Linked DNA regions of Drosophila melanogaster. The protein of the gene in region 2 interacts with the protein of the main gene of each other region in a pairwise test. Each region holds a gene or a part of one and is shown on either strand. Other genes may lie near its edges.

The links.
Region 1: the proteins of gudu (region 2) and CG13502 interact in a two-hybrid assay, tested with the Drosophila melanogaster proteins (one large-scale study listed by BioGRID).
Region 3: the proteins of gudu (region 2) and CG2256 interact in a two-hybrid assay, tested with the Drosophila melanogaster proteins (one large-scale study listed by BioGRID).

What each region holds. Positions count from the first base shown.
Region 1 is NT_033778.4:22,085,122-22,089,217, forward strand, and holds CG13502 (uncharacterized protein), read right to left. Parts: upstream 2,301-4,096; 5' UTR 2,166-2,300; coding exon 1,608-2,165; intron 1,446-1,607; coding exon 771-1,445; 3' UTR 661-770; downstream 1-660.
Region 2 is NT_033779.5:7,386,685-7,391,706, forward strand, and holds gudu (gudu), read left to right. Parts: upstream 1-1,823; 5' UTR 1,824-1,991; coding exon 1,992-2,608; intron 2,609-2,690; coding exon 2,691-3,942; intron 3,943-4,003; coding exon 4,004-4,144; 3' UTR 4,145-4,218; downstream 4,219-5,022. Other genes in the region: CG5149 (uncharacterized protein), read right to left, coding at 1,291-1,419; CG5160 (uncharacterized protein), read right to left, coding at 4,391-4,819, 4,962-5,022. UniProt on the Drosophila melanogaster protein: Important for spermatogenesis where it may have a role in sperm individualization.
Region 3 is NC_004354.4:8,083,407-8,089,464, forward strand, and holds CG2256 (uncharacterized protein), read right to left. Parts: upstream 3,808-6,058; 5' UTR 3,702-3,807; coding exon 3,698-3,701; intron 2,360-3,697; exon of another isoform or gene 1,837-2,359; coding exon 1,470-1,836; intron 1,441-1,469; exon of another isoform or gene 1,390-1,440; coding exon 1,266-1,389; exon of another isoform or gene 1,212-1,265; coding exon 852-1,211; exon of another isoform or gene 850-851; intron 797-849; coding exon 677-796; 3' UTR 612-676; downstream 1-611. Other genes in the region: UbcE2H (ubiquitin conjugating enzyme E2H), read right to left, coding at 5,903-6,058.

The DNA.
Region 1 (4,096 bases), on a different chromosome or scaffold from region 2:
CTGTTTGTTTGTTTCGATAGTTTCTAGCCGGAATCAAACTGAATTTAAAGTAAACAAATAAGTTCCACATAGCTAAAGCCCAAACTACCCCACTCCGGTACTCTCTTTTTTTTTTTTTTACTTACTGGCCAGACGTACTCAACCCAATTGCACCGGATTTGCCGAGGGCGAAGAATGAATATAATGAAGTATATGGGCGACAAAGTATTACACTAATCTGCATAAATGTAATGTTTAAATAAATTATAGCCGTACTAGTCAAATTATGAAGTAAAGTTATAAAAACTGAAGAAGCAATAGAACTCTGTAAAAGATTCCGATTCGAGCGACACACCCAAACACATGTATCCATTGTTATTGAACAACTATTGAGATAAATTACATATTATTCCACATTGTTAAACTATCGTTGTATTCCGTCAATTTGAGGCTACATCCGGATTTCTGTTTCAGTTGACTACAAATATATATCAATGTAATTGAGAAATTCCAATTGCTCTGTTCAAAAGTTGAAGTTACGCCTAAGATTAACCAAGTAGCATACTACAAAATAAAAAAGTTGGACCGTCGTAGTCGCTGCTCCAAGTGAATATTCGCAAAATGCATTGGAAGTTAATAAAACTCAATACAAGAGTCAAGTAAAATTACCTGAGAGTTTTCGTAATTAATTGATTTATTTATTCAATACCAGCTTATCAAGCCAACTCAATTCAAACAGAAACTTAACACCGGGAGCTGAACAAGTCAGTAGTATTGGGCAGCTGGATGGACTAGAACCATTTGGGCAGAGCGTCATGGGGCAGGTTCTTATGGTTGGGCAGCGCCGTGCAGGGACGCTGTTGGCGCCAGAACTCCTGCCGTTTGTTGAGAAACTCCACCGCCTCGCGGGCGTACGCGGAGATGCTCTCCGTGTGTGTGTCCGCGCGGACCAAATCCGGATGGAGCAGCAACTTCTCCAAGTACTCCTTGTCCACGCACAGTTCGCCCAGCAGCTTGCGGGCGTTGCGTCGTTCCAGATCCGCTCGACTGGGTTTCTGCCGCGTCCTGGCACTGGTCCCCGTTGCTCCCGCTGCCTGGGATTTAGGTGTATCCTCGCCGGACTTCCGTGACTTTCCGCTCTTGGGAACAGATGCTGTTGGTCCTGGTGGACCCGGCTTGCTGCCGATGGTGTTCTCGATGGCCTCCTGCGTTTTCTGAACGCCCAGGCGAAACAAAGCCAGTTCCGGACGAGCCCTCAGACCGCGATGGAAGAACATCAGGCTCTGCTCGAACTGACCGAGGTAGTACAGCGACTCAGCCTTCTGGTAGATGGCCCGAATGTTGTTCTTGTCCTCTCCAAGAGCCGTCTCCGCATCCTGCAGTGCCTTGGAAGCCTCGCCCAGCAACAAGTAGCACTTGCTACGCGAAATCAAAGCATTGATGTCGGTGCTATTCAGCTCAAGAGCCTGAAATTTTAAGGTTTTGTTAGCTAGTTTTTAATATGTTATGGCAGATCTTAGAAAACTAAACGGGACTTAACAGCGGTATAGATTCTATTAAAAAGAGAAAACCTGCTTAACTAGATGACTCTGAAATCTGAACAGTTCCAATAATGAAACCAGGAGCACCTTGCAAAAAAAGTGTATGGCGTTCTCGGGATTGGCATTCTTGATCTCCTTGAGCCCCAGTGCGATCACCGAACTGATGTCCGCCTCGTCCGGGATGAGCAGTGCCTCGTTGCGGTCCTGCTTCTGCTTGATCTGGAGACTCTGCTTGATGTCAAATGCACCAGCGCTGACCGCTGCCGCCCGATCTTTGTCCGTGTAGAAGTCGACGAAGTTCTCCTTGGGCTTCTTCTTCTTGGCGATCTGCTCCTCGATCTTTTTGCGTGCCGCCCTAAGTTCGGCCTCAATGCGATTGCCCCGCTTGCCGCCCGCAGCGTCGCCTCCTGCTCCTCCCCCAGCTCCTCCGTCATCCCCCTGCTTTCCATCCCGTCCAGCACCGCGTCCGCCCCGATCAGTGGACTCGCGCCTCTCCCAGATGGGAGGCTTGTGGGAGCGACCCTTGGACCGCCGATTGGTCTCATCCTGTGACTCCTCCTCAGCCGCTGCTCCGGTGCGTATGAAGCTTTGCAGCAGTTCCTGCTCCTTGTCCACAGCAAGAATGGTGTTCAGCACGTTCGACATATCCTTATAATACCCTTGGCAATCGCTGGGAAGAATCTTCAACGTCCGACGATTGGAGTAATCCAAAAAACTCAACTTCTGACCAAATCACTAGCCAATTGATTGGCGCTATAATGGGTTGTTGCCAGGAAACTGGCGCCACCAAATGGGTTAGCAATCGATAACAAAACAACCACTCGTGCTGTGCCAGGTGCTACATATCAGGTGTCAGGCACCAGGTGTCGTGTCGTTTGGCGGTGTGAATGCCAAGAACAATGGCCTCCATGTGGGTCACGACCTTGGGGACGCCCTATTAGAAGGTGAGAATGCATATCCACTCCGATCTATCCTCTTTTCTCAGTGGTCCTCGAGATTATCATATTTTAAACTAATTTTTTGGTTAATGCTTAAGGAATCGAGTTGGGATTTTGTTAACCATGACTGGCTTACGGGGCGTATGAGTAACTTTCTTGATATGTTTTGAGGGGGACTTTAATTTCCTTAAAATTACGCATATTAAAGTAGCTCCTTTATAACACTAAAACTATCAACGGTATCTTTTCTCAATACGTTTTTTGTTTGCTAGCATAGAGGAATAAATTGGCATACGTGTCGTATGAGTAATATAAAAAAATGTAACAAAAAAACCTTAATGTAAACTAAAACTTATCATTAAACACTTGAACAATCTTGGCTATAAAAAAAGCCTTTCTATAGTGTTTCTATATGGTGTTACTCTACAGGTGCTTGTTCAACTACGTTAAGAATGTCAAACTGTGCTCCTTTGTTGTGAACTAAAACCTGTGCGAAGCTTTCAGGAGCTTTTAGCGGATGTCCTTTCCCGCTAAGTGATTATCCTTCTTCACGAACAAAGCATTAAATGCTTAAAAGTGAAAATGAAACACATAAAATATCACCGCCTTCGTTTTTATGTACTTTTCGAAAATTATGAAATTAAATAAAAGTACATAGATTACTTTTATCTTAATTACATATTTTTTAAATGCGATAAAACCCGTTTCAAATATCCTCAACTGTGTCTAATTTAAATGATTCACTTTGTGTAAAGTTTATCAAACATTATTTATAGTGCAATTCGGAGATGGTATTCCCAATTGCACTTTATTATTTGATGGAAATAATTCTGCCTAGTCTTAACTGTGGCTAGTAAGTTTCCCAACACACCTGGTTGTATCCAAACAAAGCCTTCTCGTAGGCCCGAACCTTCATGTGGTTATTGGATTGATCGCATAGCAGTTTAATATTGGTCTCGATCTCCTCGAGAGTATCGACCTTCGGTTTCTTGCGCGGCATTTTAAATTCGGTATTGTTAAGTAGTTATAGTGGCTTATTGAGATGGTGTATCGTAGTAGTTTCACATTTTTCACCCTTCAAGCCTGTGACTTCTTCACTCCGTAGTCTAAAATTGACGTCTGAACGCGACGGTTGTCGTTGAGCAACTGAATTATGTGCCTTCACTTTGCATTTGACCCAACTTGGCTCGCTTCTAGACCCCCAATCCATGGAAAAGGCACCCCATCACAAGCTGCAACTCAGGGGTTCCGGCTTTTCTTTACTTTGTATACCAGTTTACATGCGCTGACAAGCAGCAATAAACTTCAATAAAGTTTCATTAATATCTCAACAAACCCTTCTGAGCATTCTGAAAAGCCACAATATCCTTTGGATACCACAAAATATTAGTTTTTGTTATGAAACATCTACTAGCTGATTCATTTTGTCATCAGCTGTGACTTTAATAACAGAAAATTATTTGTTTATGGTGATTAGATCACATAATGTGCAGTGTCAATTATACATGTTACATGAACTCTATTTCACTTTAACAATAATAAAACTCGAAAAAAATATAAAACAAACAATTGTTTTTTACATAATCCCTTCTTTCTGTGTAGACTTTGGATCGCTGAAAAGGCGGATTCACCGCATTT
Region 2 (5,022 bases):
TGTGTACATAAACAAAATGCGCGCCGGATACGTAAACATAATTTTCCCGCTGCTGTCAGCAAATTCTTGCAGGGAACGAAGGTCTGGGAAGCGCTGACACAGATTAACCCATTGAAGGACGTACAATGAATAATAATTTGGTTTGACTGAAAACAAAGTCTCTCAAGTTTTATGAAAATAAATACTACTTCAATGTATGTAAAGTTTCAATTTAGAGAGTTTCCGCTTAAATTACTCTATATGAATGCAAGTCTTATAATTTCCTCATTCTAAAAATCAACTATTTCACATGCCATGCTGTAAACGGGTTAAGCATATGGTTTATTTTTAATTCAATTGGGTTTGGCCCTAATTGACGACCCCAGTCATTGAAATCACGACTAATTCGTTAGCAAGCAAATTCAACAAAGCAAAAGACAAACAGTGAAATGCGGCAGCAAACAAATTAGACAAATTATGGACACGTTCGCACTGGCCCAGGAATTATCAATTCGAAACTGATAACGCCCGAGTTGAAGATATCGAATTTTGCTATACCCTAGGAAGCGCTGTGATAATCAAACACGAGCTATAAATAGATGGAAATATTATAAGGAAAAATCATCATCTGGTTACAAACAAACATTTTTTGAGTGGTTGCATTTCCGTCATCTGTGCTGTGATAAAAATAAAACACAAATCTGGGGCCTTGAACCCGCATCGGAAAAATTATAGCATAAATTGTGTATGATCAGATTGATTTAACTAAATGGGTTAAAATAACAATTTTGGAAAGTTACGTGTACATTTAATCTAAATAGGACTGACTAGTTTAGAAAATTACATTTTTAAACAAGTTGAATAATTTACTTTTTATAAACTCTGTTAAATTTCCTGGTTTGCACTTTAAATCGAAAAAGAACTGTATTAAAATAAGGTTTAGAAACTTTGAACTTTTGTATAATGCCGGATAATGTTGCGACTCACTCTCTTATATAACTAAGCTTCTTTTTCGGAACATAGTACTATGATTAACTTCAATGTTTAATCCTCGAAATAGGAGTTAGTGACAACAACAAATTAATGCCCTAAAGGATATACCCATTCAAGTGAAGGGTGGCCATCGCAGCAGGTGGATGGACGGCCGTTTGTCATGCACTCGAAAGTCCCGATTTCTCTTTTTTTGCCGAAGAAAGTTCACTCCGCGCGTCCTTGAACTTGTGACCCTGACCCTTCCGCAAATGCAGAATGCAGTTGCCATTGATTTTCGCAGTGCACACGTGGCACGGTAACTGGATTTACTTGACTTACCACCAATCTGTCTTGGGTCAACTTCTCAAGTGCTCCGCCAGAGGCGTTTTTGTACGCGGATTCCAGCATGCGTAGCTCTTCCGAATTGTAGAGATTATCCGTCTCCCGCTTGCCACTCGCATTTCCCATCTCAGGACACGAAATTCAGTTGGCTGGTGCTACGACGGCTGGTAAACAAACAATGCAGCTGCAGCTGCGGATGATCGCGGATTTTAATTGAAAATAAAAAACAAACAACACAAGCTGGTGATGGAATGGCAGTCGATTTCCCTGCGATACCCTCGATAGTTTCGGAAACGGGTAAATTTCGCGGTGGTCGTCTGCACTATGAATGGTTATTGTCTGTGCTAAGTCAGGTCGATGTATTTGCTAAACGGTTAATTTTAACCGCTAAGCGAATTCAACGAAGGCCAAGCGAATAAAATAAATTTTAAATGCCTTGGATAGCTGTAGTTAAAAATTTATTAAAATAAAAAAAAACTTACAAGTTTGAGCTAAGATACCTTTGCCCTAGCCCGGTATTTTTGAAATTATCTCAGTTACCTTAGCAACACGCCTTATTAAATCAATTGCCTGGCCTAATAAAGTTCTCCCACACAAAAACACAATAAATTCCGATACAAAACTGAAGAAAGCTGGCATACCGACAGATATTTCCGGAATACGATTGGCCAAATCTGTGAGTAATCCAACGCGAAAGGATGATTGGCACTAGCAGCGGAACGTCCCACAATCGGAGTCGAAAGAAGAAAGAACAGTGCGGATCCTGTCCCAACAGATTCTCAAAGGATAAGCGCCAGGTGGCCGCCGAGGACTCGGATACCACGGAGGTGGAATCGTCTACGGATGAGGAGGAACGCTGGAAGGAAGTGGCGCGAGCCGCTGAGATTCCGGCTGACTATTATAATATCCAAAAACTGGTGAAATACATCAAGGCGGGCAATCAGACAGCCACTATAGTATCGTTGTGCTGCTTGAAGGACTACGATCTGAGCACCCAGATCAATCAGTTCGCCATCTCGGACATCGGCGGACTCGATGTCTTGGTTAACATCCTGGAGTGCAGCGACACCAAGTGCTGTTTGGGCGCCCTCAAAGTTCTCTCAGATATCACACTGAACATCGATATTAGGAAGACCATCGTAGATCTGGATGGCATTCCCCTCATTGTGGACATCCTAAACTCTTCCATGAAGGACCTAAAAACCATGGCCGCCGAGACATTGGCCAATGTGTGCAAGGTGCGACTGGCCAGAAAGTATGTGCGCACCTGCGGAGGAATCCCCAAGCTGGTGGATCTCATCGACATCAAGTTGAGGTGAGTTGGCATTGGATAAAGTGCTTCATACTACATCACCACATATAAGAAATAATTAAAAAAAAACCTAATTATATTATAGCATTCTAAAGACGCCTCGTGACCAATTGAGTCCAGATGATCTGGAATCTCTCGATATGACACGCGCTGGAGCCCGGGCTCTTTTCACTCTGGCCGATTCCAAGCACAACATGGAGCAGATGCGCAAGAGCGGAATTGTTCCTTTGATGGCTCAGCTCCTTAAGTCCTGTCACATCGATGTCGTCATTCCCATAATGGGCACCGTTCGAAAGTGCTCCTCGGAGCCGAAGTTCCAACTGGCCATCACCACCGAGGGCATGATTCCCGACATTGTGAGCCATCTGAGTTCCGAAAATACCGAGCTGAAGATGGAGGGCAGTACAGCGATCTACAAGTGCGCCTTCGACGGAACCACCAGGGATTTGGTGAGGGAGGCTGGGGGCTTGGAACCTTTGGTAACTATCATAAAGGACAAGAATGTGAGGGAAAATAAGCCTTTATTGAGAGGCGCCACTGGAGCGATTTGGATGTGTGCCGTAACCGATGCAAATGTCAAAGTGCTGGATCAACTCAGGACGGTGAACCACCTGGTGGCCTTGCTAAATGATGAGTGTGACGAGGTCCTGACCAACGTGACCGGAGCTATATCTGAATGTGTGAGATTTCAAAGCAATAGGGAGCAACTGCGTCAGGCTGGAGGATTACCAGCAATGGTTTCCCTACTCAACAGTTCTCACGCCCCTCTTCTGGAAAATTTAGCCAAGGGATTGAAGGAGTGTGCCGAAGATCCGGACAGCATGAGAATCCTTGAGGATCTGGATGCGGTCAGGCTGATATGGTCGCTATTGAAGAACCCCACAACTAGGGTTCAGGCCCATGCGGCTTACGCCATATGTCCCTGTGTTCGAAATGCCAACGATTCCGCTGAATTGGTCAGGAGCTTGGTTGGCGCCATGGAACTGGTGGTGGGTCTGCTAAAGTCCAAGGATATCATGGTCTTATCCGCCGTTTGTGCTGCCATTGCAACAATTGCCCAGGATCAAACCAATCTAGCCATCTTAACCGATCTGAAAGTCATCTACAAGCTAGCCGATCTCGTCCAGACCACCGACGACCTCCTTCGAATGAACTTGGCAGCTGCCGTGGCCGCCTGTGCCTGCTTCGGTAATAATACGGAGGAACTGGGACGTCTGCGTACTGTCACTCCGATTGTCACCTACATGACCAGCGACAATCCCTTGGTGCACCGCAGCACGGCCATGGCACTGGAGAAGCTATCGATGGATCCGCAGAACTGCATTACCATGCACCAGGTACATTTCTTCTACCTAATCACACTTAGCAACTCATTTAGATTCTTTTATTTTACTTCAGAGTGGAGTTGTTCCTTTCCTGCTGGAGTGCATTGGATCCACTAACAAGGAGCTCCAGTTGGCCGCCGCTGGTTGTCTGCGCAATATCCGCGAATTGGCCTTGCGTGCCGAGGAATATCTGCTTAAAATCGACGATGACTAGCTTCCTGTTTTTTTTTCTTTGTTAAGTTATTTAATTGTATTTGACGAAATATATGTGTGTATGCCGATGCTACCAATTTCTTGCATTTTTAGCAAATAAATTAATAAGTTAGTAAATTTTTAAACCAGAAATCCCAGAAAAATATGTTTCATTTTCCATGACAATAACATCTAGCTATATAATTATATATTTGTCGCTACATATTTTGACTAACTAAGCTCGACCCACCCTGCATAAAATTCCACTCTAGTAACTGGCATTACTGCCCCTGGTGGAAATGCTCATCCGTCGCTCCACGCGATTCGTGTGTGGCAGCAGGCATCCCGGCGGTGGATACCGCCATCTACGTGGTCGGGACAACAGGGTGCCGTCCGTCGAAGCTCTACTACGGAAGGGAGCATCGATGTCGCTGCGTGAGCTGCTCAAACTGCTACTCGTAATCTCATCCGTAGACTCCGTATGGTCACCGTTGCTCTCCTCCAAACAGGCGCTTCCGATGACCAGAAAGGAATGTCGACCGACGCCCAAAGACGAGGCATCGTAGAAGGAACAGGATCCCGAATCGGGCGTGAGGATTCCATCCGTATTGGCCACATCGCTGGTGGAGCGCTTGAGCTTGGGGAATTTGCTGAAGACTCGCCAGAAGCGAAACACATCGCGAAAAACATTCTGCACCTGGTTGGAATGAGTGAATAAACAAATCGTATATTTATAAGGTGCCATGTGATGGTAAATGGAAGATTAATTTATCAGACAAAAGTTTAATTTCACTTCACCTTAATAAAGAAATCTTTTGTAAGAAAATTTTTCCTCTTACTTGATCCACGCTCTCTCTGACGGAAATCTCGTGAAAACAGGAGCAGGATAACTCCCTGAAT
Region 3 (6,058 bases), on a different chromosome or scaffold from region 2:
CGTTGCATGAATGCATTCAATAGATGAACAAGATTCGTGACAATTCGCTAGTCGGGCGGGCTTGTGTATCTGTATCTATGCGGCTATAGTTGTTCTGCTGTGGATGCGACTGGCTAATCGAATAAATTAGCTCGCATAACCAGACCGGTTGACTAGCTGACTAGCTGACTAACTGACTAACTGACTAACTGACTGATTGACTGACTGGCTGACTGTCTAACTGACTGGCTTATTGTTTCACCCGAGGCTTGCATAAATATGACGCCTTGGCGACTCATCCGCGGCATCCATCTCAATTCGCACCTTCATCTGGGGAATGATCCCAATGTGGATACGTGCCAATTACAGATTTGCGACTGCAAATTGCACCCCTGTCGTGGGTCGGGGTCACCACTAAGTCAACTAGCCAACGCAATTAGTCTTAACAGCATTCGCGAATCGGACCCGCTTTAAGTCTGGCTATTTGTAGGGATCACCAGTTCAGGTGGGATGCATAAACAAGTTCCACGCTATCGATCGTGCAAAGTATTGGCATTCATAACTAAACGTCTGATGATAAATGTACTAATGTACTGCACCATTAAAGACCGAAATATATGTATATTATGCATAAATTATTGATTAAAATTTTATTAATTACATTAATATAACAAATTCAAAGATATTTGGATGCTGATCACACCTGCAGCGTGGAGAAGAAGGAAACCACAGCGCTATCTGTGGGCAGACACTGGCCAAATGCCTCGATTAGCAATGGTTCCGCGGTGACCGTGCCCATAAAATCCTCCAGGGAGACCTGAAAACCAAATCATTATATCTGTAAGGAATTATACCACCACCAATCCATTCACCTTGCCGTCCTTGTCCAGGTCGAACTTCTTGAGCACAATCTCCACCAGATCCTTGACGCCCTCGTCGGGATCTTCGTCCTGCGGTTGTTTTATCAGGCAATTTCGCAGCAGCGTAAACATTTCATCCTTGGTGATGAAGCCATCCGTGTTCAGGTCGTAAACCCGGAAGCAAAAAGCCGCCCGTTCCGCCGGCGTGCCGCGCAGGAATGTTGAAAGTCCAATGAGCCAGCCCTCGAGGCGAAGGGGCAAACCCTCGTGGGCCTTGTCCCAGCTGCAGAAGATGCGCTCCATCAGGATCTCCTCGGTGACGATGTCGAAAGTGCTGTGCAACAGCTCGCGGAACACAATGCGATCGATGCCCTACGAAGAGTGGCGCTGAAACACCATTTCTTGACAGGATCTGTTCATAGTTACCTCCACGGCAGCATGTGGCTTGGCAATAGCTGCGCTCGAGGAGCTGGAGGCCAGCGTCTTGGCCGCATATTGACAATTTGATACCAGCTTGCGATAGATGCGGCACAACGCATCCAGCTCGTCCCTATTCGGGCGCCAAGTGGCACATACAGTTCATCATCGTACTCCAAATTATGTATGTATGTTTGTATGTAATTCACTCACTTCGTAAACCGCGTCTTCTTTCGCAGGCTGTCCAACAGCTTGGGATTCACTTTGCCGCTCAACTCATCCATCCTCCGTTGCCGCTGTTGCCGTTTGTTCTGCAAAGCAGCCGCGGCGGCCTTCGACTGTTGGTTGCTCGAGTTGCGCTTGCCGCTGGCAAGGAACACGGATACCGTTTTCAGTATCGTTTTGTTGGCATGTAGTGTGGATCTACCAACGCCAGTGGTGCCGCCAGTTGCTGTGGGTGCCGCTGCAACACCACCACCACCACCACCACCGCCTCCACCACTGCCAGCACCAGCCGTTGCCCCGCCATCCCGATTGGGTGTCGGTGTTGGCGAACGACCCTTGCCAGCGCCCGCCTTTCCTGCAACCCAAAAAAAAAATAAGGTTCAGCTTTACATGGGTGCGTGTCTCTGTCTTTGTGTTGGCCTGCTGCTGCTTTATGTGTCAAAGTCGACACGCTCACCCCCAAAACTCCTGGCGCCGAAATAAACTCCTCCTCCTTGGCGAGCTTAGCCAGCAAAGGCCCTTCAAGTGTGTGGATGTGGAGCAGAGCAAACAAAAGGCCTGAAATGCAAATGCGCCTCGCCAGAATCAAAACCATTCCCATACCCCCATTCACCCCATTCGCGGCCCATTCAAATGGGTAATAGCGTTCACATTCGGCTCATAAATTGTTTTAGCCGGCTATTTCGATTCGAAATACACTGAGCGAAACCAAAAGCTGAGAACTTAACTGCACCCCATCTGGTATACAAACCTCATATGCTTATGAGATTTACAATCCAAAGTATCTTACCATATCTCACATAAATTCATAACGATTGGACTAATATTATAGATATTATATGTACACAATCCCATTCAGTGATACTGATTGATACTTCTTTTTTGTCTAAGTGCACTCATTTACTGTTCTGCTCACTTTGATTTCAATCTACTCTGCCACCGAAGTCCTCCCTTCTCCGCTTTGTTGTTTCGTGTCTCCTTTGAGAAAAAATGTTATTATCTTGTGATTACCCATATAAGTGAAGGAGCAACATATGGGGTCCCGTCTGTCTATGTCTATGTCTATCCATCTGCGCCCCAGACACTATAATTTTATTAGCATTTTCATTTGCTCCACTTGGGGAGGGGGGGAACTGAGTTTTTGGGAATGGCAATGAAAGTGGATGTGGAAACGGGGAAGCGTGTTGGGTTCGGGCCACCGAGAACCGTTTGTCTAGACCCCCGATACCATGTATGTACGGCATACAGTTTCGTGTAATTTGTTGATATCGGTTGCCCGGTTGCCACACAAAACCTGCAACATGGGATCAAGCCCAAACCCAAACCCACACCCAAACTTGAGCGACCACCTCTGATGGGGCAACTAAATCAAACATCTTTGGACCTGGCAGTCCATCAACGGGTTGCACCCGACGCCTCCGCTCAAATAACTGCAACATATATCCCCAATTACATATGACAAAGGACCTTCTGGACGAGCTTGTTCCTCGCCTGTTCTTTTGGCCAATCCCTAGAAATGCCTCAGTCGCGATTTGCAAGCCAAGCGAAGGCATCATCTACTCCGGGCATGGACACGGATTCTATTGAGAAGTAATTTGAAACTCATTTTTAAATCAATCAGAAACTGGAGATGAATAATAAGTGAGCCCATAAACCATATACAATGGGTTATGTTATGAATCGAATTGCTGGTATATGTATACAAAAAAAACTGACACCGTTCTTAAGGCATTGCATAAATAAATATTTTCTATTGATTTTTACTGATACATTGCATTGCAGGCCAGTTGGTAGGAAAATATCGGCTTTTCCATGTGGACGCAATGTATGTAAATATGCAAGGATTACATCACAGATGGACGTGCCTGTGGACGGGCCACCCATTTTATAGCCTCATTCGTGGAATTTCAATGGACTTGAGGACCTTTTGAGGAGACATCCCACTCACTCCACCGTTATTTTGTTTTTTTTTTAAACCTCAAATGGAATTTCGCCTGCAGTGCCGACAAACAACTTGCGTTCAACTATTTCGCAGAATGGGGCACTTTGTTGGGGGCGCGCTGCAAAGTATGCTATGGCAATTGTCGAAACGCCAGGAGTAATTACTCCACACACACACAGACACAAAAGCGACGAGTACACACACACACACTCACAGAGAGAGAGAGACACGGAATGTTGTTGGTTTTTGTTTGATAGATCTTTAAAGTAGATACCCATGTTTCGCTGGCTTCTGGGCGCTTTAGCTGCTGCTGCTGTTGTTGTTGTTGTTGTTGTTTTGATTGCCCGATTAACTCCACGCAGGAGCGTTAAACCGTGTCCCTCGGCCCTTGGGCCACAACAAAAGGTAAAAAGGCGCTGAAGGAATCAACAAACGTGGCACTTTCCATCAGTTTCCAAGGCGTTGACAAACCCGCAGGCATTGTCAGTTGGACTAGGTAGGGAGCAGTGGAGCCAAGAAGCCAAGGAGAAAGCTTGGCCCATTGGAGGATATATGGGGCGGTGCCAGGCGAAGAACCAACAACTATTGACAAAACAAGGCCAAGAAACGGGCGTAACTTTCTTTTCTTTTCTTTTGTTTCCTTTTTTTATTTGTTAGATTTCACTTGTTTGTAACATGTTTTTTTTTAATTTTTTTTTTTTATATTTCTTTACTATTTTTACTCATTTTTTGTCCCACTCTCGTCCATGGGGTTTTATTTCCATCTGACTTCGATTGCTTGAATTACGTTTTAATTATTGTGTATCCTGATAGATATCGGCATATATATATATATATATATTTATATATGTATGTTGAGTGTGTGTGTGTGTGTCACTTATATACAACTATCAGATTACTCATTAATTCTGCTGTTAGACTTAGGCATAAGTATTGTTATAGTGTTAGTACATAGTACAGTAGATCGCTAATGTCTATATATCTGCACTTTCATTTGATTTCACTTAAGAACCCGCCTTCTAAAAATCACATCCTCATCAAAATTCCAACCCACCGGATGTTCTCCAATTCTCCATTTCTCCAATTTGATTAACAATTTTAAAAAGCGAGAACGAGGGAGAGAGATGACTAAGAGAGAGAGAGAGAGAGAGAGAGAACAATAAATCATGTAGTAAATGTGGTGTAAAGACAAAATGTATTATAATAAAAAAATATATGCTTTTGGCTTAAACACGGGTGACATAAGTTAGACATAAGAATTATTGCATTTAATTACACGATCAATTCGAATCCTATTTTAAAATATTACATAATAACCGTATAATAAGATTAATTAACAAGAAAAAGAACTGCAACGATTATTCCGTCTGTTCCACGCAATCGCCTCCATGCCTTTCCTCTAGGATTTGTCTTGGCTTTCTATTTCATTTCATTTAGTATCGATCGTATTCACCTTTTGATATATATTTTTTTTACTTTTCGGCAGAGAAAGTGCTGCTAAGTCTGATGATTTTCTGCGGTTTCCAAATATCTTAATACACATATACAGACAATAAAAAAAAATTCGCGCTTACAATTAAACGGAACAAAAACAAGACAAACATATAAAGTACACACTATTACATAAGAACAAATAATAATCCGCAGTTTTGCTGATCGATCGATCGTTCTAAGGTTTCCGTTCCTCTGGATTGCAAATTGGATAATTGGGTTATCGTCGTGTGGTATTTATATGTGGTGAGGGCATTCCAAAAACTTATGTTTGATGGTGGTATTTGTGTTTACGTTTTCTATCAACTTGTTAAACTCTAAAGAACGACGAGCATCGAAGTCTGTTTAATGCCAGATCAAGGCCAAAGCAATTTCTCGTCAAATTTCGCATTGCATGTGCACTTACTATAACCATTTAAATTGCGCTTGCATCTATGCTTTTATCTCTGCTATCTGTATTTTATCGGTTTTGTTTGTTTGTTTGTTTGTGTTTCTATTCTGTTTGTTTCTATTTTGCTCTTCCATCCGTTCCATTTTTTTTTTGTTACTGTGGTCTATATATCTGCTATGATCTGTTGCGATCGTTGCTCCAATCCGTTTTGTTATCAGCTACTGATGGCTAAACTAAGAGTTTTTAAATCTTGTTTTTCTTTCTGCTTACATTAGTGTATATATATATATATATTATGTATATATTTATATGTATCTGCGTGTGTGCGCTGATCATCACACGCCATCATCGAATCACTTTCTATCTTAAAATCCAATTATCATTTATCAATTATGTATATATATATATAGATATATATATATATATATTGTTGCTTTTTGTTCCATCGCCAACTGAAGGGGTATGGTGAAAGTATAAGTGAGTGTGTTTGTTTGGGGAAATTGGGTGGCAGGAAAATGGATTCTCGAAGCATTTGTATTAGGCTGTTGTCAGTGTTAGTGTTAGCGGTAGTTCCGTAGGCTGGCGGTCCAACCGATATTATAATTCCATGTCCCTGGCCTCATCCTCACTGTAGTCGGACATGCTCGACTCGCTGTCGCTGCTCTCCCGCTCCTGCTGCGCCGCCCGCAACGCGTCCTCGGTGGCATAGCGCTGCACATAGTCGGCCACCTTGCGATGATACTCCTCCGGCTC